Lonchura striata: one gene and its partners. The main gene of each other region encodes a partner of the protein of the gene in region 3 in a complex. Links are inferred from orthologs where the notes say so. Each region holds a gene or a part of one and is shown on either strand. Other genes may lie near its edges.

Region 1 (7,177 bases), on a different chromosome or scaffold from region 3:
ACATCGAAGGGGCAGTGGGGACAGGGGGGACATGGAGGGGACAAGGAGGGGACAGTGGGGCCAGGGTGGGGACACATGGGGACAGCAGGGGGACATGGCGGGGACATGGAGGGGACACGGTGGGTCACAGCCCCTGCCCCGGCCTGTGTCACCATCCCTGTCCCCGTCCCTGTCCCTGCCCTGTCCCCATCCTGTCCCTGTCCCTGTCCCCATCCTGTCCCTGTCCCTGTCCCCATGTCCTCCTCCCTGTCCCTGTCCCTGTCCCCATCCTGTCCCTGTCCCTGTCCCCATGTCCTCCTCCCTGTCCCTGTCCCCATCCTGTCCCTGTCCCTGTCCCCATGTCCTCCTCCCTGTCCCTGTCCCTGTCCCTGTCCCTGTCCCTGTCCCTGTCCCCATCCTGTCCCTGTCCCCATGCCACATCCCTCATGTCCCAGCCCTGTCCCCACATCCTGTCCCCACGTCCTCACCCTGTTCCCGTGTCCCCACCCACCCACCCACCCCCGCCTTCCCGATGTCCCCGACCTGTCCCTGTGTCCCCGTCCCCGTGTCCCCACCCTGTCCCTGTCCCTGTGTCCCTGTCCCTGTCCCGATGTCCCCGACCTGTCCCTGTGTCCCTGTCCCCGTGTCCCCACCCTGTCCCTGTCCCTGTGTCCCTGTCCCTGTCCCGATGTCCCCAACCTGTCCCCAGAGTCTGTTGTGTCCCTGTCCCTGTCCCTGTCCCTGTCCCTGTCCCTGTCCCTGTCCCTGTCCCCAGTGTCCCTGTCTCCAGTGTCCCCATCCCTGTCACCATGTCCCTGTCCCAATGTCCCTGACATGTCCCCGTGTCCCTCTCCCCGTGTCCCTGTCCCTGTCCCGATGTCCCCACCCTGTCCCCATGTCCCTGTCCCTGTCCCAATGTCCCCAACCTGTCCCTGTGTCCCTGTGTCCCTGTGTCCCTGTCCCTGTCCCGATGTCCCCACCCTGTCCCCGTGTCCCTGTCCCTGTCCCAATGTCCCCAACCTGTCCCTGTGTCCCTGTGTCCCTGTGTCCCTGTGTCCCTGTCCCTGTCCCTGTCCCGATGTCCCCAACCTGTCCCCAGCGTCTGTTGTGTCCCTGTCCCTGTCCCCGTGTCCCCACCCTGTCCCCATGTCCCTGTCCCTGTCCCGATGTCCCCAACCTGTCCCTGTGTCCCTGTGTCCCTGTCCCTGTCCCAATGTCCCTGTCCCTGTGTCCCTGTGTCCCTGTCCCTGTCCCGATGTCCCTGTCCCTGTCCCCAGTGTCCTTGTTCCTGTCCCGATGTCCCCAACCTGTCCCCAGCGTCTGTTGTGTCCCTGTCCCTCTCCTGATGTCCCCAACCTGTCCCCATGTCCCTGTCCCTGTCCCGATGTCCCCAACCTGTCCCTGTGTCCCTGTCCCTGTCCCGATGTCCCTGTCCCTGTCCCCAGTGTCCTTGTTCCTGTCCCGATGTCCCCAACCTGTCCCCAGCGTCTGTTGTGTCCCTGTCCCTGTCCCCGTGTCCCCACCCTGTCCCCATGTCCCTGTCCCTGTCCCGATGTCCCCATCCCTGTCCCTGTGTCCCTGTGTCCCTGTGTCCCTGTCCCTGTCCCGATGTCCCCACCCTGTCCCCATGTCCCTGTCCCTGTCCCGATGTCCCCAACCTGTCCCTGTGTCCCTGTGTCCCTGTGTCCCTGTCCCTGTCCCTGTCCCAATGTCCCCAACCTGTCCCTGTGTCCCTGTGTCCCTGTGTCCCTGTCCCTGTCCCTGTCCCGATGTCCCCAACCTGTCCCTGTGTCCCTGTGTCCCTGTGTCCCTGTGTCCCTGTGTCCCTGTGTCCCTGTCCCTGTCCCTGTCCCTGTCCCCGTGTCCCCAACCTGTCCCTGTGTCCCTGTGTCCCTGTCCCTGTCCCAATGTCCCTGTCCCTGTCCCCAGTGTCCTTGTCCCTGTCCCGATGTCCCCAACCTGTCCCCAGCATCTGTTGTGTCTCTGTCCCTGTCCCTGTTCTTGTCCCCATGTCCCCATGCCTGTCCCAATGTCCCCTACCTGTCCCAGTGTCCCTGTCCCTGTCCCCGTGTCCCCACCCTGTCCCGTGCCATCCCTGTCCCCTCCCTGTCTCCTTCCTGTCCCCATCCCGTCCCCAATGTCCCCATCCCTGTCCTCGTCCCTGTCCCCTCCCTGTCCCCTCATTGTCCCCATCCCTGTCCCTGTCCCCGATGTCCCCAATGTCCCCATCCCCAATGTCCCCAATGTCCCCTCCCTGTCCCCAGTGTCCCCAATGTCCCCGATGTCCCATCCCTGTCCCCACCCAGTCCCCAATGTCCCCGATGTCCCCGATGTCCCCTCGCTGTCCCCACTCACCGACAGCTCCGTCGATGTCGGGGTGGCCCCGGGGCCGCCCTTAAATCCCCGAGGTGACAGGGGGGAGGTGACACCGGAGGTGACAGGGGGGAGGTGGCACCGGAGGTGACAGGGCAGGTGACAGGGAAGGTGCCAGGTGGGTGCCAGGTGGGTGACAAGGGGCAGGTGACACCGGAGGTGACACGGGAGGTGCCAGGTGGGTGCCAGGACGGTGACAGGGCGCAGGTGACAGCGGAGGTGGCACCGGAGGTGACAGGGGGCAGGTGACAGCGGCAGGTGACAGGGGAGGTGACACTCGGTGACAGACTCTGGTGACACTCGGTGCCATCACCGCCAGCCTGGCCGGTTCTCCCGGTCCCCACCTGGCCACGCGTGGGCGAGGGTGGCCTGGGAGGGGACACGGGGACAGGGGACACGTGGGGGACATTGGGGACATTGGGACATTGGGGGGGCACTGGGGACATTGGGGACATTGGGGACATTGGGACATTGGGGACATTGGGGACATTGGGGGGACATTGGGACATTGGGGACAGTGGGGACATTGGGGACATTGGGGACATTTGGGGCACATTGGGGACAGTGGGGGACACTGGGGGGACATTGGGGGGACATTGGGGGGACATTGGGGACATTGGGACATTGGGGGGGCACTGGGGACATTGGGGACAGTGGGGACATTGGGGACATTGGGGACATTGGGGGGACATTGGGGACATTTGGGGGACATTTGGGGGACATTGGGGACATTTGGGGGACATTGGGGACATTGGGGACATTGGGACATTGGGGGGACATTGGGGACATTGGGGACATTGGGACATTGGGGGACATTGGGGGGACATTGGGGACATTGGAACATTGGGGGGACATTTGGGGCACATTGGGGACAGTGGGGGGACATTGGGGGGGCACTAGGGACACTGGGGACATTGGGGGGACATTGGGGGACATTGGGGGGACATTGGGGGGACATTGGGGACATTGGGGACATTGGGGGGACATTGGGGACATTGAGGGGACATCGGGGACATTGGGGACATTGGGGGGACATCGGGGGGACATTGGGGACATTGGGGACACTGGGGACATTGGGGGGGACATTGGGGGGACATTGGGGACATTGGGGGGACATTTGGGGGGACATTGGGGACATTGGGGACATTGGGGGGACATTGGGGGGGACATTGGGGACATTGGGGGGACATCGGGGACAGGGAGGGGACATTGGGGACACTGGGGACATTGGGGGGACATCGGGGGGACATTGGGGACATTGGGGACACTGGGGGACATTGGGGACATTGGGGGGACATCGGGGACAGGGAGGGGACATTGGGGACATTGGGGACATTGGGGGCTTTGGGGGGACATTGGGGACATTGGGGGCTTTGGGGACATCGGGGACATTGGGGGGACATTGGGGGGACATTGGGGGGACATTGGGGGACATTGGGGACATTGGGGGGGACATTGGGGGGACATTGGGGACATTGGGGGGACATTGGGGGGACATTGGGGGGACATTGGGGGACATTGGGGACGTTGGGGGGGACATTGGGGACATTGGGGACATTGGGGACATTGGGGGGACATTGGGGGACATTGGGGGGGACACTGGGGGTCACAGGGGTCACGGGGGGGGTCACAGGGGTCACAGCACCCCCTCCTCCCGGTGACCTTTGACCCCGGGGCGCGCGCCTGACTCATTTCCCGCCACCCCCGCGGTGGGCGTGGCCTCGGCGGCGCGGGGGTGGGCGTGGTTCCGGCGAGCGGGCGGAGCTTAAAAGCGAGAACCCAACGGTGATTGGCCAGGGGGCGTGGCCTCGGCGGCGGAGGGGGCGTGGCCGGCGGCGGAAGGGGGCGTGGCCTGCGCGGCGCGCTCCGGCGGGCGGAGATGGTGAAAGGGGGGGGGGGCGGGGGATCTGGGGGGATTTTGGGGGATTTTGGGGGGTCCGAGGCGGGTTTGGGGGATTTTGGGGGTCTCAGGGGGAATTTTGGGGGGCTTTTGGGGTCTGAAGGGATTTTGGGGTGTCCGAGGGGGGTTTGGAGGGGTCTGGGGGGATTTTGGGGTCCGGGGTCATTTGGGGAGCTCCGGGGGGATTTTTGGGGGGGTCCGAGGGGATTTGGGGGGGTCCGGGGGGGTTTGGGGACTCAAAGGGGGTTTGGGGGTCTCGGGGGGGATATTTGGGGGGATTTGGGTTGGATTTTGGGGGGCCTCGGAGGGGATTTGGGGGGTCCGGGAGGGATTTGTAGGGTTTTGGGTGGGTTTGGGGTTTTTTTGGGTGACTCGGGGGGGTTCTGGGTCCGGGCGGGGTTTTGGGGGTCCGAGGAGGTTTTTGGGGTCCCCGGGGGGATTTGGGAGCCCCCCAAAACCCCCCTGACCCCCCCCGTGCCCCCCTCAGCTGTTTTACTCCTTCTTCAAGTCCCTGGTGGGCAAAGACGTGGTGGTGGAGCTGAAAAACGACCTCAGGTGAGGGGGACCCCCAAAATCCCCCCCAAAAACCCCCCTGGGACCCCCCAAAAATCCCACCGGGACCCCCAAAATCCCCCCCAGCCCTGGGACCCCCCAAAAACCCCACCCAGGACCCTCCAAAAGCCACCTGGGACCCCCCAAAACCCTCCTGGAAACCCCTGGGACCTCCAAAATCCCTCTGGGACCTCCAAAACCCCCCCTGGGAACCCCAAAACCCACCCTGGGACCCCCAAAAACCCCTTGGGACCCCCAAAACCCCCCATGGAACCCCAAAACCCCCCCTGGGATCCCCAAAAACCCCCCCAGGGACCCCCAAAACTCTCCCCGTGTCTCCCCCCAGCATCTGCGGGACCCTGCACTCGGTGGATCAGGTGAGTGGGGGTCCCTGGGGGGATTTTGGGGGTCCCTGGGGGGGATTTTGGGGGTCCCAGGAGGATTTTGGGGGTCCCTGGAGGGGTTTTGGGAGAGTCTCTTGGTGGTCCTAGAGGGATTCTGGGGGTCCCTGGGGGGATTTTGGGGGTCCCAGGGGGGGTTTTGGGGGATCCAGGGTGGATTTTGGGGGTCTCTGGGGGGATTTTTGGGGGTTCTGGGGGGCTCTGGGTGGATTTTGGGGGATTTTGGGGGTCTCTGGGGGCATTTTTGGGGGTCTCTGGGGGGGATTTTGGGGTCTCTGGGGTAATTTTGGGGTCTTTGGGGTAATTTTGGGGGTCTCTGGGTTGATTTGGGGGTCTCTGGGGTAATTTTGGGGGTCTCTGGGTTGATTTGGGGGTCTCTGGGGTAATTTTGGAGGTCTCTGGGTGGATTTGGGGGTCTCTGGGGTAATTTTGGGGTAATTTTGGGGGTCTCTGGGGTAATTTTGGGGTAATTTTGGGGTCTCTGGGGTAATTTTGGGGGTCTCTGGGGTAATTTTGGGGTAATTTTGGGGGTCTCTGGGTGGATTTGGGGGTCTCTGGGGTAATTTTGGGGTAATTTTGGGGGTCTCGGGTAATTTTGGGGTCTCTGGGGTAATTTTGGGGTAATTTTGGGGGTCTCGGGTAATTTTGGGGTAATTTTGGGGGTCTCTGGGGGGATTTGGGGGTCTCTGGGGTAATTTTGGGGTAATTTTGGGGGTCTCTGGGTTGATTTGGGGGTCTCTGGGGTAATTTTGGGGTAATTTTGGGGTCTCTGGGGTAATTTTGGGGTAATTTTGGGGTTCTCTGGGTGGATTTGGGGGTCTCTGGGGTAATTTTGGGGTAATTTTGGGGGTCTCTGGGGTAATTTTGGGGGTCTCTGACCCCCCCGTGCCCCCCAGTACCTGAACATCAAACTGACCGACATCAGCGTCACCGACCCCGAGAAGTACCCGCACATGGTGGGCATTTGGGGGATTTTGGGGATTTTGGGGATTTTGGGGGGATTTTGGGAGATTTTAGGGTGATCTGGGGGGGATTTTGGGGGATTTGGGGAGATTTTGGGAGATTTTGGGGAGATTTTTGGGGGATTTTGGGAGATTTTGGGGAGAATTTGGGGGATTTTGGGAGATTTTGGGGAGATTTTTGGGGAGATTTTGGGGTGATCTGGGGGGATTTTGGGGATTTCTGGGAAGGATTTTGGGGAGATTTTTGGGGTTACCTGGGGGGATTTTGGAGCGTTTCTCTCTGTTTTTTGGGGGGATTTCTCTGGGGATTTTTGGGATTTTTTGGGGTGCATCTCAGGAATTTTTGGGGTGTCTGTGGGTGAATTTTGGGGTGTCTGTGGGTGAATTTTGGGGTGCCTTTCCCCCCAGCTCTCGGTGAAGAACTGCTTCATCCACGGCTCCGGGGGCGTTTTTGGGGGGAATCTTTGTTTTTTCGGGGTTTTTGGGGGGATTTCTCGGGGATTTTTGGGGGGATTTCTCTGGGGATTTCTCTGGGGATTTTGGGGATTTTTTGGGATGTGTCTCAGGAATTGTTGGGGTGTCCCCGGGTGAATTTTGGGGTGCCTTTCCCCCCAGCTCTCGGTGAAGAACTGCTTCATCCGCGGCTCCGGGGGCGTTTTTGGGGGAATCTTTGTCTGTTTTTTCAGCGTTTTTGGGGGGATTTCTCTGGGGATTTTTTGGGGTGTATCTCAGGAATTGTTGGGGTGTCCCCGGGTGAATTTTGGGGTGCTCTCCCCCCAGCTCTCGGTGAAGAACTGCTTCATCCGCGGCTCCGGGGGCGTTTTTGGGGGGAATCTTTGTTTTTTCGGGGTTTTTGGGGGGATTTCTCGGGGATTTTTGGGGGGATTTCTCTGGGGGTTTTTGGGGGGATTTCTCTGGGGATTTTGGGGATTTTTTGGGGTGTTTCTCAGGAATTGTTGGGGTGTCCCCGGGTGAATTTTGGGGTGCTCTCCCCCCAGCTCTCGGTGAAG
Region 2 (7,773 bases), on a different chromosome or scaffold from region 3:
CCCCAAAAATCCTCCTGGATCTCTTCTCTGCATCCCAGCGATTCCAGATTTTTCTCAATACTCCTAAAAACCTTTTCTTGCATCTAAAAATTCTACCCCAAATTCTTTTTTGTGCTCCTCACAATCTCCTAAAATATTCCCTGTGCCCTAAAATCTCCTCCCAGATGCTCTCCAAATTTTTCATATGCCCCAAAATCCCATCCTGGCCCCCCAAAATTCCCCCTGAAAATCCCAAATCCCCCCAAACCCTCCCGGGAATTCCCAGTTCCTCCCCAAACCCCCCAAATCCCCTCCCAGCTCCCCCAAAACTCTCCTAAACACCTCCCAAACCCCCCAATTCCTCCCAAATTCCTCTCATCCCCCCCCAAAACCCACAAACACCCCCAAATCCTCCCTAAACACTCCCAAATCTCCCCAAAACACCCAAATTCCTCCCAAATTCCTCTCAGCCCTGCCAAAATCCCCAATAACACCCCCAATTCCTCCTAAATTCCCCCCAAAATCCCTCCATACGCTCTCCCAGGCCCCTTACACCCCCCAATTCTTTCTCAAACCCTCCCAAATTCCTCTCAGCACCCCAAAAACCCCCAAATCCTCCCAGTTCCTCCTCAAATGCCCTTCAGCCCCCCCAGTTCCACCCCAAACACCCCCAAATCCCCCCAATTCCACCCCAAATGCCCCCTAAACCCCCCCAATTCCTCCCCAAACCCCCCAAAATCCTCCCCATATTCCCCCAAATCCTCCCCAATCCCCCCAAATCCTCCCTAAACCCCCCCAATCCCCACAAATCCTCCCCAAACCCCCCCAATTCCTCCCCAATCCCCCCAAATCCTCCCCAAACCCCCCCAATTCCTCCCCATATTCCCCCAATTCCTCCCCAAACCCCCCCAAATCCTCCCCAAACCTCCCCAAATCCTCCCCAAACCTCCCCAATTCCTCCCCATATTCCCCCAATTCCTCCCCAATCCCCCCAAATCCTCCCCAAATCCTCCCCAAATTCCCCCAATTCCTCCCCATATTCCCCCAATTCCTCCCCAAACCCCCCAAAATCCTCCCCAAATCCTCCCTAAACCCCCCAAATCCTCCCCAAACCCCCTCAATTCCTCCCCAATCCCCCCCGTACCCCAGTTTCTGGTTCAGCAGCCGTTTCTCCTTGGCCGCCGCCAGCTTCTCACGGATCTCCTCGCGCTGCCGCAGCGCCAGGGGATTGATCAGCTCGGCTGCCACCGGCTCCTCCTTGGTGCCCGCCTCTGCCCAGGCAGCGCCCCAAAACCGGCCCCAAAATCAGTGAAATCAACCCCAAAACCAGCCCCAAAATCAGCCCCAAACATCAGTGAAATCAGCCCCAAAACCGGCCCCAAAATCGGTGAAATCAGCCCCAAAATCAGCCCCAAACATCAGTGAAATCGGCCCCAAAATCAGCCCCAGGGCACCCCACAATCCACCCCAAAATCAACCCCGTAATCCACCCAAAAATCGGTGAAATCAGCCCCAAAATCGGTGAAATTGACCCCAAAATCAGCCCTGGGCAGTGCCCCAAAATCAGTCCCAGGCACCTCACAATCCACCCCAAAATCAGCCCCATAATCCACCCCAAAATCAGTGAAATTGGCCCCAAAATCAGCCCCGGGCAGCGCCCCAAAATCAGTCCCAGGCACCTCACAATCCACCCCAAAATCAGCCCCATAATCCACCCCAAAATCAGTGAAATTGGCCCCAAAATCAGTGAAATTGGCCCCAAAATCAGCCCCGGGCAGCACCCCAAAATCAGTCCCAGGCACTTCACAATCCACCCCAAAATCAGCCCCATAATCCACCCCAAAACCAAGGAAATCAACCCCAAAATCAACCTCAAAACCAGCCCTGGGGCACCCCAAAATCCATCCCAAATCACCCCCCAGCAGCACCTCAGAATCAGCCCCAAATCGTCCTCGGGGCACTCCACAATCACCCGAAAATCACCTCTGGGCAGCGCCCCAAAATCACTGAAATCGGCCCCAAAACCAGCCCCAAGCACCCCAAAAATCCCCCAAATTTCCCCAAAATCCCCTCACCTTTCTTGGCCGGGCCGGTCTCCAGCGGTTTCAGTCCCAGTTTGGCCCGGAGCTTACTGGGAACAGGGAAAGGGCTCAGGGGAGGTTTGGGGTGGGGGGACCCCAATTTTGGGGGATTTGGGGTGGGGTCCTCACTTGGTTTCTTCCACGCTCAGGGAGGATTCGCCTGCTGCGGGTTTAGGAGGGGCTGGAGAGGATAATTAATAAATTATTAGTAATTAATTAGAATTAGGGGAGCGGTTGTAACACTCAAAACCCCAAAATTCCCACTGAATACCCCAAAGTTCTCTTTAATCTCTCCAAAATCCCCTTTAACGCCCCAAATTTCACCTTTAACCCCCCAAAATCCCTCTGGGGTCTCTCTCATCCAAAGCTGCCCCCCCCAAACCCCCAAAATCACCCCCAGCTGCAACAACCCCCCCTCAAAATCCCACTAATTGCACCCCAAAACCTCCTCCAACCCCCGCAAATCCTCCAGCACCCCAAATCTTTGCTGTGCCCCTGAAACCCCCCCCAAAATCACCTCCAGCACCCCCGAGCCCCTCCCGACACCCCAAAATCCCCCCAAACTCCCCCTCAAATCCCTCCCCAAACCCCAAATTCCTCCCCAAAACTTCCCAGCCCCCCCCAACCTTTCCCCCCGCCCTCACCGGGCTCCTCCCGCTCCTCCTTCCTCTCCCTCTTCGCTCTCCGCTCGCTCTCGGTGCCGCCCCGGCCATGGCCGCTCCTCCCGCTCTCCTCGGCTCCTCCGCGCCGGGAGGAACCGGAGCCTCCCCCGGAGCCCCCGCGCTCGCCCCGGGAGCGGCTGCGCTTCCCGCGCCGCTCCCCGCCGCGGTGCCGGTGCTTGCGGTGCTCGCGGGGCCGCCCCGCGCTGCCGCCGCCGCCCGTCCCGGCCGCTCCCGGGGTCTCCTCGGCCGCCTCGGCCCCGCCGCGCTCCCGGTGCTTCTTCGAGGCGCCCATGGCCGCGCCGCCACTTCCGGGAGACAGCGGCACTTCCGGTGGTTGCCATGGAGACGCTTCCGGTGTTTGGCTACTTCCTGCGGAGCGCGGTGCTGATTGGCCGAGGTTTAGGCGGGACTTGAGGGGGCGCTGTGGGATGAACCATTATGCGCGCGGAGGGGTGGGCAGAATGAGCAGGATGGTTGTGACGCCGTCCTGTCCCCCCACAAAGGGCTGAAGATCTCCGTAAGAGGCACCGAGGATCTCCCGACTCGGTTCCCAGTGAGGAGACCCCGTGCGGTCTGCCCGATGAGGGGGCTCCGTAAATAGCGCACCCCCGGGGCACAGCAAAATGGCTGCGCCTAGCAGCGCTGAATAGAGACTTTGACAACAGCAAAATGGCGGCTGCTTGGGGTGTGGCAAAATGGCGGCGCATGGGGGGTACCCCGAAAAGGACGGGGGCGTAGAGAACCCTCCGGGAGAAGAAAAAGGCACGAGCCCCATAAGTGGCGTTCCGCTGAGCGGTGGCGCAAACCAGAGACTCCAAAACGCGCCCTCCGGGGCTCTGTCCCGCCCCGTTCGCCCCGGGGCGTGTCCGGCCCCCCCCGCCTCGTGCTCTTTGATCCGCCCGGGCCGGGCGCCGCGGCGGCGCCAGGGGGCGTGGTCAGTGAAAGTGGGCGTGGTTTGCCGGGGTATAAAAGGCTGCGCCGAGCCTCCCCCCCTCAGCCCCGTCACGAGGCATCGGCGAAGGTGCCGCCTGCTCTGAGGGGGCTCGAGCTCGGCGGGGCGCTTCTGGGGGGCGCAAAAGCCTCTTTGAGGATTTTGGGGTGTGCGGGAAGGGCTCGAGATCCCCCCCAAGGGCGGATTTGCTCGTTCAGGGACTCGTTGAGGTGCGGCCGCGAGGCCTGGAAAGATCTTGGGGCGTTCTGGGGCCTCTGTGAGGCTTTTGAGGTCCCTGGGGTGAGGGGTGTTAGATACTCAAGAGGAGCTTGAAACCCGCGCTAAGAGGATTTTAGGGTGCTACCGAGGAGGTTTTGGGGTGCGGGGAGCACCTTTGGATCTCTTTAAGACGCTTTCCCCACGGTGGGGGGGGATAAAGTCGGGGTTCAGAGGCCGTTCGTGGGGTGAGAGTTCAACCCCGCCCCGAAGCCTTTTGGGGCTCGGGGTTTTTCTGAACATTTCGGGGTGTTTTATTTCCCCCCCAGATGGAGCCCGAGGCGGCACCCCGCGAGCTGGAGCTGTCGGCGCTGGAGGCCGAGACGGAGCCGATGGCGGCGGCCGAGCCCGCGACCCCCGCGCAGCCTCCCCCAGCCCCGGAGCAGCTGCCGGGCGTGGAGAAGAACGGCCTGAAGATGAAGATCCCCCCCGAGGAGGAAGAAGAGGCTCCTTTAGGGGGTTCGGCGCCTTCGGGGAGCCCCAAATTCACGGGGCTGGGCAAGGAGGAGCTGCTGAGGGAAGCGGGGACGCCGCTCTGGGCCCGGGCCCGCCTGGTGCTGCTCGTGCTCTTCTGGGGGGGCTGGATCGGGATGTTGGGGGCCGCCGCTGCCATCGTGGCGCAAGCGCCCCGCTGCCAGCCCCTGCCCACCAAAGCCTGGTGGGAGCTCGGGGCGCTCTACAGGGCTCCCCCCAAGGCTTTTGGAGGTGATCTGAAAGGTGAGGGGGGGGTTTTGGGGAGGTCTCCTGGGAGTTTGGGGGGTGGGAGGGTCCCAGAGGATGGCTGGGGGAATTTGGGGGGATCCCTTGGGGGGGGTCCCATGAGGTGTTTGGGGGCGGTTTAGAGAGTAATTTGGGGGGTGGGAGGGTCCCAGAGGATGGCTGGGGGAATTTGGGGGGATCCCATGGGGGGGGTTTAGAGAGTAATTTTGGGGGTGGGAGGGTCCCAGAGGATGGCTGGAGGAATTTGGGGGGGGTCGGGGTCCTTTTGGGGGGTGGGAGGGTCCCAGAGGATGGCTAGGGAAATATGGGGGGATCCCATGGGGGGTTTGGGGGGGTTTAGAGAGTAATTTTGGGGGTGGGAGGGTCCCAGAGGATGGCTGGGGGAATTTGGGGGGGGTCCCATGAGGGGTTTGGGGGGGTTTAGAAAGTAATTTTGGGGGTGGGAGAGGGTCGAAGGGTCCTAGGGGATGGCAGAAGGAATTTGGGGGGTGTTCTCTGGGGGGCTTAGGAAGTTTGGGGGATCCCTAGAGGTGAGTTGGGGGTGTTTAGGGAGTCTCCAGCCTGGTTCTGGGGAGGTTCGGAGGGTTGGGGGCATCCCCAGGAAGGTTTGGGGGTCTCCTGGGAGCCTGTGAGGGGGGGGGAACACCCCATTTAATAAACCCCTAAAATGAATTAAAGAATATTTTGTGGGGGGAGTCGTTTCAGTGCCCCCCCAGCATGTGTCAGGGTGATTTACCAAAAAGAACCCACAGGATCAGATTGGGGACCCCCATTTCAGGACCCCCCCACCCATAAAAGAGCCTGGGGACAAGTGACTCAGCAACTTGGGGGGTTCCTCCACTTTAGGGGAGTCCCACGATCTCTGGGAATTGCTCAAAGCCTGAGCGGGCCCCCAAATTTTGGGGATTTTGGAGTTTCCTCCAATTTTGGGGTGATCTTGGGATCCTGGGAGGACGTTTTAGGACCCAGGGGCTGGTTTTGGGGTCTAGGTGGGATTTTGGGGTTGTGTTGTCGGGTCAGATTTGGGGTTCACCCCTTTTTCCTCCTCTCCAGGTGTGGAGAAACGTTTGGGGTACCTGAAGGAGAAGCTGCAGGTGGGGGGGCTGGTGCTGGGCCCCGTGTACCCCCAAAAATCCCCCGAGGCCAAAATCCCCCCCCTGAAGGAGCTGGACCCCACCCTGGGCACCATGCAGGACTTCAGCGCCCTGGTGCATGCAGCCAAGGACAAAGGTGAGCTGGGGGCACCCCAAAATTGGGGGGGACGACCCCAAAACTGGGGGCGGGGGGACACTGGGAGGAACCCCAGAATTTGGGGGAAATGTTGGATACGGGGCGGGGAAAAATGGAGAGCTTGAATTTGGGGGAGGGGCAGCAGAGAATTGAAGGGGAAGACCCCCAAAATTTGAGGGGCACAAAATTGATGGGGGGGGACACCCCCAAAATTGGGGGTGGGGGGGGAATGCAGTGGGAGCCTCAGTTTGGGGGTTCCCATGGTTGGCTGTTTAGCAAGGCAGAAGGAGCCCCCAAAAAAGGGGGATCCCCCATAGTGGGGGGGGGGGTCTGTGATGCTGGGGGGGTTTTGGGGTGCCCTGACCCCCCCATTTTCACCCAGGGGTGAAGGTGATCCTGGACCTGACCCCAAACCCCGCCGGGAATCCGGTGTGGGGGGACGCAGCCCAAGACTCTGAGGTGCACCAGCAGGTCCAGGTGGGTCTGGGGGGGCTGTGGGGTGGGGGTGGGGGGCTTGGGGGTGTGGGGGACCCCCCTGAACCCCCCCTGTGCCCCCCCAGGCCGCCCTGAGCCATTGGCTGAAGGAGGACATTGCTGGGATCTTCCTGGATGGCATCGAGGAGCTCCCGGTGAGGGGGCTGGGGGGGATTTGGGGGAGTTTGGGGTGGAATTGGGGGTTTGGGGTAGAATTTTGGGGGTTTGGGGGTTTGGGGTAGAATTTTGGGGGTTTGGGGTAGAATTTTGGGGGGTCTTTAGGATCTCTGGTGACCCCCGCTGTGTCCCCCCAGAACTTGGTGGTGGCCCAGTGGAGGAACCTGACGGAGCAGCAGCCGAGCCCCAGCGGTGTGGACAGGTGCGACCCCCCAAAAAACGTCCCTGTGTCACCCCAATGTCCCCCCAAACTCACTGACCCCAAAATGTGTCCCCTGTGTCACCCCCAAACTCACTGACTCCCCCCCAAACCTCTCCTCCTCTCACTCTTTGCCTCATGGGTTTCTTCCTTGTATTTTGGGGTGCTGGGAGTGCTCCCCTGACCTTCCCGCCCCCATTTTTGGGGTGATTTTCTGACCTTTTGCCCCTATTTTTGGGGTGCTTCCCTGGCCTTTTCTAGGTCAGGAAAAGGTTGTTTTTTGGTTGTTGCTCTGATCTTCATTTTTGAGGTGCTCCCTTGACCTTCCCCCACATTTTTGGGGTTCTCCTGTGATTCATCCTCCCTGTTTTCCAGGTGTCCCCCTGCTCTTTCCCTCCTCATTTTTGGGGTGCTCCCCTGACTTTTCCCCCCTGATTTTTAGGGGTACTCACCTGACTTTTTCCTATTCATTTTTGGGGTGCTTCCCTGCCTTTTCCCCCCTGATTTTTGGGGTACTTACCTGTTTCCTCTTCATTTTTTGGCGTCTCCTCTGATCTTTTGCTCCTCATTTTCAGGGCTCTCCCCTGACTTTTCCCCCTGATTTTCAGGGCTCTCCCCTGACTCATCCCCCCCATTTTTGGGGTGCCCCTGTCTGTTTTTAGGGTGCTGGTGGGGGGCACGCGCCTGCAGGACCCCTGGGAGGTGCCGCGGGGCCCGGGGATGCCGCAGCTGCTGCTGGGACCCTTCCTGCAGCCCCTGGAGCCCAAGGGCGACTCCAAGGCCCCCGAGGACGTTGTGAGGAACCTCCTCAACTTCCTCAGCTCCAACTCCTCCGTGGGGCTGGGCTGGAGCGTGAGTGCTGCCCCCCAAAACCTCCCCGGGACCCCCCAGATCCCTCCAGGAGCCCCAGAACCTCCCCGGGACCCCCCAGATCCCTTCAGGAGCCCCAAAACCTCCCTGGGACCCTCCAGATCCCTCCAGGAGCCCCAAAACCTCCCCGGGACCCCCCAGATCCCTCCAGGAGCCCCAAAACCTCCCCGGGAC
Region 3 (8,001 bases):
TATGGACAAATAATTCATAGGAAGAAAATACAGAAACTGAGACTAGCATTTGCAACAAATGACTGAATTGAAGGTGGCTGGCAGACTTGCATTACTGAACTGAACAGAGCAAGTACAAACCCAAAAGTCTGTACTGACAATATTTATTTGATTTTTTTTTCCTTGCTAATTGTGCTGTAACTCTAGGTATAAACTTCTAGGGGAACACAGAAAGACATTGTACTGCCAAGAGCAGTGCTGACAGCTAATAATTTTGAAAACTACAGACATCAGTAAATGGATTAACTTTGCTCAGCTTTTCATTACAAACAACCGTAGCTAAAATACCTATATGTTTCTTTCATAACTGCCTCTTTCTCCACCCCACCTTCTTCTCCTCTTTCACTTTTCATGTAACCTTACCAGAAATGCAGAGGCACAACTAATGTTTGAGAACAAGCCACAGCTATTCACACTTCTGATAATGGTTAAATAAATACACATTTTAAAAATCCTCCCTAAACCCACACTGATCCAATACAACAGTTACCTGATTTATATTCAGTAATAGATAAATCCTTTCTTAAACAAGGTGTTTTAATCTAGCAAACCAATCTTTGTATTTTAAGGGATAGGTTTTTATGAGTTCCCTGTAAAGAAAATATAAAAGTGTATTTTTAGAAAAGGTGTTTAAGGCAAAATTTGTGAACTCAATTCGTGTTTCAATCAATGTTTGATTGAAACCCTGACAAAGCAAAAAAAAAAAATTCTAACATCTTACAATTATGATTTGTTTTGACATTCAGTGAAACCTTGCTTCTTTTTCATGTAACTCTAGGGGAAAAACCCAGTCAGCTCCAAGTGGAGTACATTTCAGGGAAAACAATCTACTTTGTACTTTAACATAGCATTCTAGTTTCTTTTCCTGTGAAAACTGAAAAGAAAACCTTGTTCTCCTATCATAAAGTACAGATAAATATTACTGCTACCCAAAAACATGCTGCAGCCTAAAAGAATATTGCACCAGGGTAACAAGTGTAAAATACAGCCACATTGTTTTCAAATTTAGCCTGCAATTATAGCACGTTAACATTCTGTATTATTCTCTAGAATAAACACCTGTACAATTGGAACTTTTACTCACTCTTTAAAACAGCAGAGATCCAAACATGGCTTGTAAGCAAGAAGATGAGGTAGGATCTCCCCCTTTAATCTGCCATTTCTGCAGAGGGAGATTTTTAAATAAGAAGTTACTCTGTTCTTTCTTCCCCCAGTCACCCCTAGCTGCCAGCAGGTCTGCCAAATTGCCAAGCATCCCACCATACTAACAGTAAGTTAGTACTGTAAGTCCATACTAACAGTATCTGAGCATAACACTCCCACCAGGCTGAATACAAAACAACTGTATTAAAACATGTCACAACTCTTTACGGCATTCTAATACATCTTAACCCCTGGCTGTGGGTGTAGATTTTTAATTGTGGGGACTTTCAAGTTATTTTAAAAAAGTTCAAAGGCAAAATAAACCACAAAAACAACTCCATGTCAATCTATGCAGCATGCACAGAATTTTCTATGAAAGCAGTGAAGTTGTGGATGCCCCATTCCTAGCAGTGTTCAAGGCCAGGCTGGATGGGGCCCTGAGCAACTTGGTCTAGTGTAAGACACAGCAGAAGAGCTGGAATGAGATCTTTAAGGTCCCCTCTAACTCAAACCATTCTATGATAGCTGGCACTTTTTCCTACCCAAGTTATGTTTCTAATTCAGATTTTTTTACTTCTTTCTTCATGTGGTTCAGTTAAAGACCTGTCAATATTCTACATCTACTGCTTCGCAAATCCTTTAGCAAATATATAAAAAGGTAAATTATAGCTGATTGTGTATTCTAATTTTTCCTATCTATCTATCTATCTATCTTTCTTAAGTGACCAGATGTTTATAATCATTCAGTTTCCATCTGAAAACAGCTGTGGAGTTCAGCTCTAAAAAATTAATTCAGTCCATGTAACTCAGTGGAATGCTACTGGTGTCCATGGATAACATCACTGACAGATTAATCAGAATTATATGAATGACAGATTAATCAACACCATCCTGCACATTTTAGCACCTCACCGCTTTTAAGAGCCAAAATGAAAGTAAATTTTCAAGTCACTCAGATAGAAACCTGAAGGTATCACACATTTCCACTGTAAAGTGAGACTGCTGGGTTACTTGGAGCCGCAGTAGCACTGTTTCTGCCTGAATGCCGATGGCAGCTCAGTGACGGGTTATTAACAGGCAGCAATCTCCATTTCCGAACATCTACGATGCTCTTTTCACCCCCCAGAACACTGCAAACATCAGGGCAGTCTTTAGGAGACACTCATGAAAGTGTAACCACACAGCTTTCCCGCTGCCACCTAAAGCTGGAATACCTGTGCGGAATCCCAGTTATAAGCTGCCCCAGTCTCCAAGCAAGCCATAGGGAACACTGAGCTCAGGAGCAGAAAGCTCCCGTTTACCTTCTCGGCGATGCTGTACAGGACCTCATCCATCTTCATGCACGTGGGGTCCCAGTCGTGCCCGAAGCGGATGACCACGACCCGGTCCTCCTCCGACAGGATGGCCTGGTCGACCTGCCACCCATTGTGCAAGTGCGGCAGCATGTACGACATCCTGGCGGCCGGCTGGGAGCCTGCGGGACGGCAGGGATACACATGGAGCCGACAGCCCGGGCCCTCCCGGGGCGCCGGCGGGCGCCGAGCGCCAGCACCGAGTGCCGCCCACCCCACGCGGCCCGCCCGTCCCGCCGCGGCCCGTCTATCCCGCCGCGGCCCGTGCCCATCGCAGCCCGTCCCCAGCGCACCCCGCGGGCGCCCTTCCCTCAGAGACGGAGCGGCGGCAGCGCCGGCACGGGCGGGAAGCGGAAGGGCGGGCACGGGGCTGCGCGCGCACTCGCGCGGAGGCACACACACACACACACACACACAGACACACACACACATGCGCACGCGCACAGACACGCGCACACGCACACACGCGCACACACACACACACGCACACGCGCACACACGCGCACACACGCACACGCACACACGCTTCCGGGCGCGCTCCCCACGGGAGGAGACCCCGTCAGGGACACCCGCGTCCCGCCGCGTCCCCACGCGCAGGTGGGAGGTGGAGCCGTGCCGTGGGGATTGGTGATGCCGGCTAGCACGGAGAGGATTAAACAGAGGTGATCAGGGCCCCGATCTCCTACGCTGTGCTGCTGACCTCTGATTGTTAGTACATTCTCCTGTGCCTCCATGGGATTTGACCAAGGAGATATGCTCAGAGAAGCTGTGGATGCCCTATTCCTGGAAGAGTCCAAGGCCAGGTTGGACGAGCAGCCTGGTGTAGCGAAAGGTGTCCGTGCCCATAGCAGAGGAGCTGGGTCCAGATGCTCTTTAAGGTCCGTTCCAGCCCAACCATGCTGTGATTCTATGCTATTGCATCTCTTGGCTGTGGAAGGTTTTCTCAGTGTATTCACCCACAGCATGACAATTTCCATACCCCCAGTGTCGGCCCTGCCGTGGCAGCTGCACTGCCAGCCACTCCGATACTGGCGGTGGGGTTCCATGAGGTCTCCCGCCGCTCCAGTAATCAAAATACCACTACCGGATCACTGCGCAAACGTTCCAGTGGAAGTGGTCAGCAGCAAAACCAGCACATTCCAGCACTGGTTTCTACAATCGAGCTGGCCATTGGCATAGGCCATCCCAGACCAATCTGTTTCCTTAATTCCACAGCAGACACTAATTTGAAAGGTTAGCTTGCAGCAGGCAGGGACAAAAGTATCGTTTTCACTATAAAAATTCCCCACAAGGTGCAGCTTGGGCTGTGGTGAGCAATGTGATTTGGTGACAAATAGCTTTGCCCAACAATGCTGAGCTCTCCAAAAACTATCCAAGTCCTCCAAGTCTCGCTTTGTCGCCTTTTTAGGACGTGCGGGCACAGGAGAAGGAGAGGGAGAGGAGAGACAGTCCGATCTGGCTGTAGCCACGGGCAGAGGCAGCGGGGGCGGTGATCCCCGTGCCGGAGCTTCCCTGGGAGTCGCCAGCCCCGGCGCCGGCAGTGCCCGGGCAGGGCTGGGTTAAACGAGCGGGGCTGGGCAGGAGCGCCTGTGCCCGGCCCGGAGCGGGGCCGTGAGCTCCTGGCTCTGCCCGCTGCCGCGGGACCGAGCTGTGAAAGGCACGTCAGAAAAAACAGCCCCGCTGGGTGCTTTGGTTGTCCCTCAGGTATAGCAAGTCTTCTTCTTCAGAAAAGTTAGTGGGAGGAATTGATCCCGGATAACACAAGCTGTTAACTTTAATTGAAAACTGAGTTAGGAAAATTTATGTAGGTTTATTTTGTTATGATTTAAGTCCAAGGTGATACAGCAGTGCCAACCAACAAATTTGAGAGTAAGGAGTGCGTCAAGCTCCACAGATGAAATAAGGCAACTTCAATTAGTGCTGAAGTTAATACTTACATATATTTGCCCCGTTGTCTTAATCGAAGTCATATTTTCAAAGTTTTCTCTGCAATGCCAGGACCAGAACTTACTACACTTACCTTACATAAATCATTTGATATAAGGTAAATGTAGTAAGTTCTGGTCCTGCCATTGATTATGTGATTATGAGATTATGACTGTTTACCTACATGGAAGCATGTAGGTAAACAGTCCTATGTAAATACAAACGGAGAAGAGTCAACTTAAAAAAAAAAAAAAAAAAAAAAAAAGGGAAAAAAAAAGGAACTTAGTGATACTGCAGATGGTACTAGTCCAAAACCAAAAATGTCATATCCTTGACAGCTGTTAAATTTAGCACACTGGACAAGACATCTGATAACTGAATAATTATGTTCAGGAGCAAAGCATCAAGTCTTTCAAAACTGATTCCCTTGATGTTTGGCCAGTCAAATTTGACGTACGAATTTATTAATCCAGTTGTTATTCTTGTGTACATCGCTGTCGCAGAAGTGTCATTTACAAATAGAGCTACAGGATGTGCCCACATAGTGATGGAAGACAAACAATAAGCATTGGGACCAAGGTTGGTATCTGGAGAGCCCCCTTCCTTCTTTGAGGTTCCTTTAAGTGTTTTTTGTTTCCTGCTATCAGTGTAATTTTTTAAGATTGTATCTGGGGCAAGCAGAAGACGCAGTTGTTGTTGAACCAGTGCTGAAGGCAGTGAATGGGTCATGCATGCATCAAACAGCTGGAATGGTGGGCTCAGCGTGCTCACACACATTGAAAGATCCATCAACATGCCACTAGCCTGCTTCTAGTGCACCAGCTGGTTTGTTTATAGCTAGAGGCTTCCTCATGGGTCACCTTTCTGCTTCTGAAGTGTAGGAAAGGCTTCCAAAGTGAAAGCAAGTCTGGCTCTGCCCATCATGTGTGGTGTATTGCAATGGGTAGCGGTTGGTGATGAAAGCAGATGGAATAATACAGTGCTGCCTCATTGGCATCTACCAGTCACTTGGTCCTGTCTGACGCCCAGTTTTCCCTGCTTAACAGCAGAAGGTTTAACTGCCCTCCAGGATTACCAGATTCCGATCATTTATGAAGCTGGACAATGCCATCACAATATGACATCAACTCCTCTTTTATTCTATGCATAATTCATTCTGCAATACAAATCTAGTTTATTCTAGTAATGTTGTATGATACTCTTAAGAAATGCAGACTGCATCTGGGGAAATTTGCAATTTTGACAACTACATGTGGCTGACAACTTCAGCTGGTAAAAAAAATATTAGATGTATATAAAAACATGATCTTTGCAATTTGGTTGCACTGTTCACCTCCTTGCTTTGTTTGCTGTAGTTGAAAACCAGATACTATTATCAGAGATATTGTGGTGAACTGCAGACCTGCCCCTTCAAGCCCATGTACAAAGCAGACTGAAACTGAAGCAGAAAAGCACATCAAGGCCAGGATAAAACAGCAGTACTGGTGCTGAGCTTGTAACCATTTAATCGATGTGGTTGGGATAAGTATGAGTTTGCTCAGGGCAATGGTTGACAAAACCTTCCAACCTACACTTACACTTTTTTGTCACAGGTTTGAGTTCTGATTACTCACAGAAGGCTTTTGTGAGAGGAGTGAAGCAATAGGACACAGCTGACCAGCACTGTGTGCCCAGAATAAAGTAGCATACTGCTGTGGAAAATTGTTCTGATTCAAGTAGCAAAACATCAGATTTCCTGGACACAAGTCTAGGAGATAGAATGGGATGGAGATCAAAAGTCAGTGGAGCACAGCAAAAATAATTGTAGGAAATTAGGCACAGCTATTATTAAGATATGCAGGAAATCTTCAACTACCACTTTTGCCAATAGGAGCTCCAATTAGATGTTTGGTTGTGTGTGGAGCCCCTATCTTATTGCAGAGTGCATTTGCAGGAGTGTTGTAGAGAGGACTGGGCTCAAAACTCTCAGGGCAGAGGAAAGTTCTAGCATGAAGGACTGTGTTATCAGTGGTATCTCCTCTAGTGCTCTTCCTCACTGGTTCAGCACATAGGTGTGTTAAATTTTGCATGAGGTAAGTTCAGGTAGAGATTGGAATGTTTAAAGCACTGAAGGCAAGCAGCCTAACAGCTATCCAAGAGTGGCCCTTCATTGTGCAAATTTGTTAGATGTAAACCATCTTTGGCCGATATTTGTCAGACCTATCTGGGCCTCAGTGCCACCCTACATTGCCTGTGGCTTCACCAACCACAGCCAACAGGCAAGAAACTTTGAGTAAATTTCTAGCAGCCTGTTTCATAGCACTGCTTATAGAAAGGCATTGGTGAGTAAGCTACCAGAAAAGCTACTAGTTTTGTATGAAATCAATATTGATTCAGGAGTAACATGAAACTCTGAGAAGAACAGTTTGTAGTACTGGATTTGGATGTAAGAGTGTGGGTATTCCTTGGTGTTATAGTCTAAATCAGCTCTTGGTAAAAGTACTTGGAAGTTGTCTGACATACCACGCTAGTACCAAGTGACTGTGGATTAAAAACACTATTGAGTTCCATTTGTTTTCTGACCTACTCATGTGAATTTAAGTGATAACTTTTAAAGGAACATCATTGCTTCTTTCAGGGTGTTCTCCTAAACAAAGGAGTATTTCTTCTATTCCTCTGTTGCAGGTCATGGCAGAAGGAGAGTTGCCAGCTCTTTTGATCCTGGATATAGCAGTGTGGCTACCATGCAGGCGCGGTGGGAGAAGGGCTTTGGGAATTGGAAGCTGAGCAAGATTCATTTCTGTATTTCCCCAAGTTTCTAGAAAGTTTTGTTTCAGCATTTTTCTGTAACCCCCCTTTTCCCCTCCCCTGAGCCATTCCCATTGGACTTGACCCATGGGATGATCATTATGTCCCCAGGCTGGACACTGTCTCTATTGTCTTGACCTTATCTCTTAATTTTTCTGTATAAAAACTGTATCTGGACAACTGCCCAGGGTCTTTTTGTCCCTGTGGCATTCAGGCAATACAACCTTCTCTGGACTGCACACAAATTGACCTCTCTTCGTATCTTTATCCTGAATCCTTGTGGCCACTGTGGCACGCCGCCGCTCGGACCACACCAACCCAGCCGCTGCCTGGTAAGCCCAGAGCAGTGGGACTGCAGCAAACCCTGGTTTCCTGAGGGGACAGCTAGCCAGAGGGGTCCCGGAGGGCCGGGGAGGAACGGGGAACATCATAAGTGGCACACCAGCGTGGGGCTGTGGTTTAAAAGCACTGTTGAGTTCCATTTGTTTTCTGATCTACTCATGTGAATTTAAATGATAACTTTTAAAGGAACATCATTGCTTCTTTCAGGGTGTTCTCCTAAACAAAGGAGTATTTCTTCTATTCCTCTGTTGCAGGTCATGGCAGAAGGAGAGTTGCCAGCTCTTTTGATCCTGGATATAGGAGGAACTCATGGTGTGCTGCAAGACCTTGCAGCACTTTTGAAAAAACACTTTCACCTTATCACCATTAAGGAATTTATTGGAAACAAAGAAGAAATGAGAAAAAAAAATCC

What was found. Proteins that work in one complex are often made in the same cells at the same time.
Region 1: TXNL4A (region 3) and LSM2 share a complex: the UniProt entries of both Homo sapiens proteins name them as parts of the precatalytic spliceosome. The link is inferred for Lonchura striata from reciprocal best matches to the Homo sapiens genes TXNL4A and LSM2.
Region 2: TXNL4A (region 3) and SART1 share a complex: the UniProt entries of both Homo sapiens proteins name them as parts of the U4/U6-U5 tri-snRNP complex. The link is inferred for Lonchura striata from reciprocal best matches to the Homo sapiens genes TXNL4A and SART1.

The regions. Positions count from the first base shown.
Region 1 is NC_134631.1:266,779-273,955, reverse strand, and holds the start of LSM2 (U6 snRNA-associated Sm-like protein LSm2), read left to right. Parts: upstream 1-4,163; 5' UTR 4,164-4,231; coding exon 4,232-4,234; intron 4,235-4,739; coding exon 4,740-4,807; intron 4,808-5,150; coding exon 5,151-5,181; intron 5,182-6,101; coding exon 6,102-6,161; intron 6,162-7,165; coding exon 7,166-7,177. UniProt on the Homo sapiens protein: Plays a role in pre-mRNA splicing as component of the U4/U6-U5 tri-snRNP complex that is involved in spliceosome assembly, and as component of the precatalytic spliceosome (spliceosome B complex).
Region 2 is NC_134638.1:688,656-696,428, forward strand, and holds the start of SART1 (U4/U6.U5 tri-snRNP-associated protein 1), read right to left. Parts: upstream 3,015-7,773; coding exon 2,705-3,014; intron 2,242-2,704; coding exon 2,190-2,241; intron 2,111-2,189; coding exon 2,055-2,110; intron 1,251-2,054; coding exon 1,124-1,250; intron 1-1,123. Other genes in the region: amino acid transporter heavy chain SLC3A2, read left to right, coding at 4,199-4,646, 5,703-5,879, 6,262-6,356, 6,440-6,508, 6,668-6,732, 7,392-7,581. UniProt on the Homo sapiens protein: Plays a role in mRNA splicing as a component of the U4/U6-U5 tri-snRNP, one of the building blocks of the spliceosome. May also bind to DNA.
Region 3 is NC_134603.1:84,665,600-84,673,600, reverse strand, and holds the start of TXNL4A (thioredoxin-like protein 4A), read right to left. Parts: upstream 3,001-8,001; 5' UTR 2,967-3,000; coding exon 2,828-2,966; intron 2,657-2,827; coding exon 2,484-2,656; intron 1,200-2,483; exon of another isoform or gene 1,124-1,199; intron 1-1,123. UniProt on the Homo sapiens protein: Plays a role in pre-mRNA splicing as component of the U5 snRNP and U4/U6-U5 tri-snRNP complexes that are involved in spliceosome assembly, and as component of the precatalytic spliceosome (spliceosome B complex).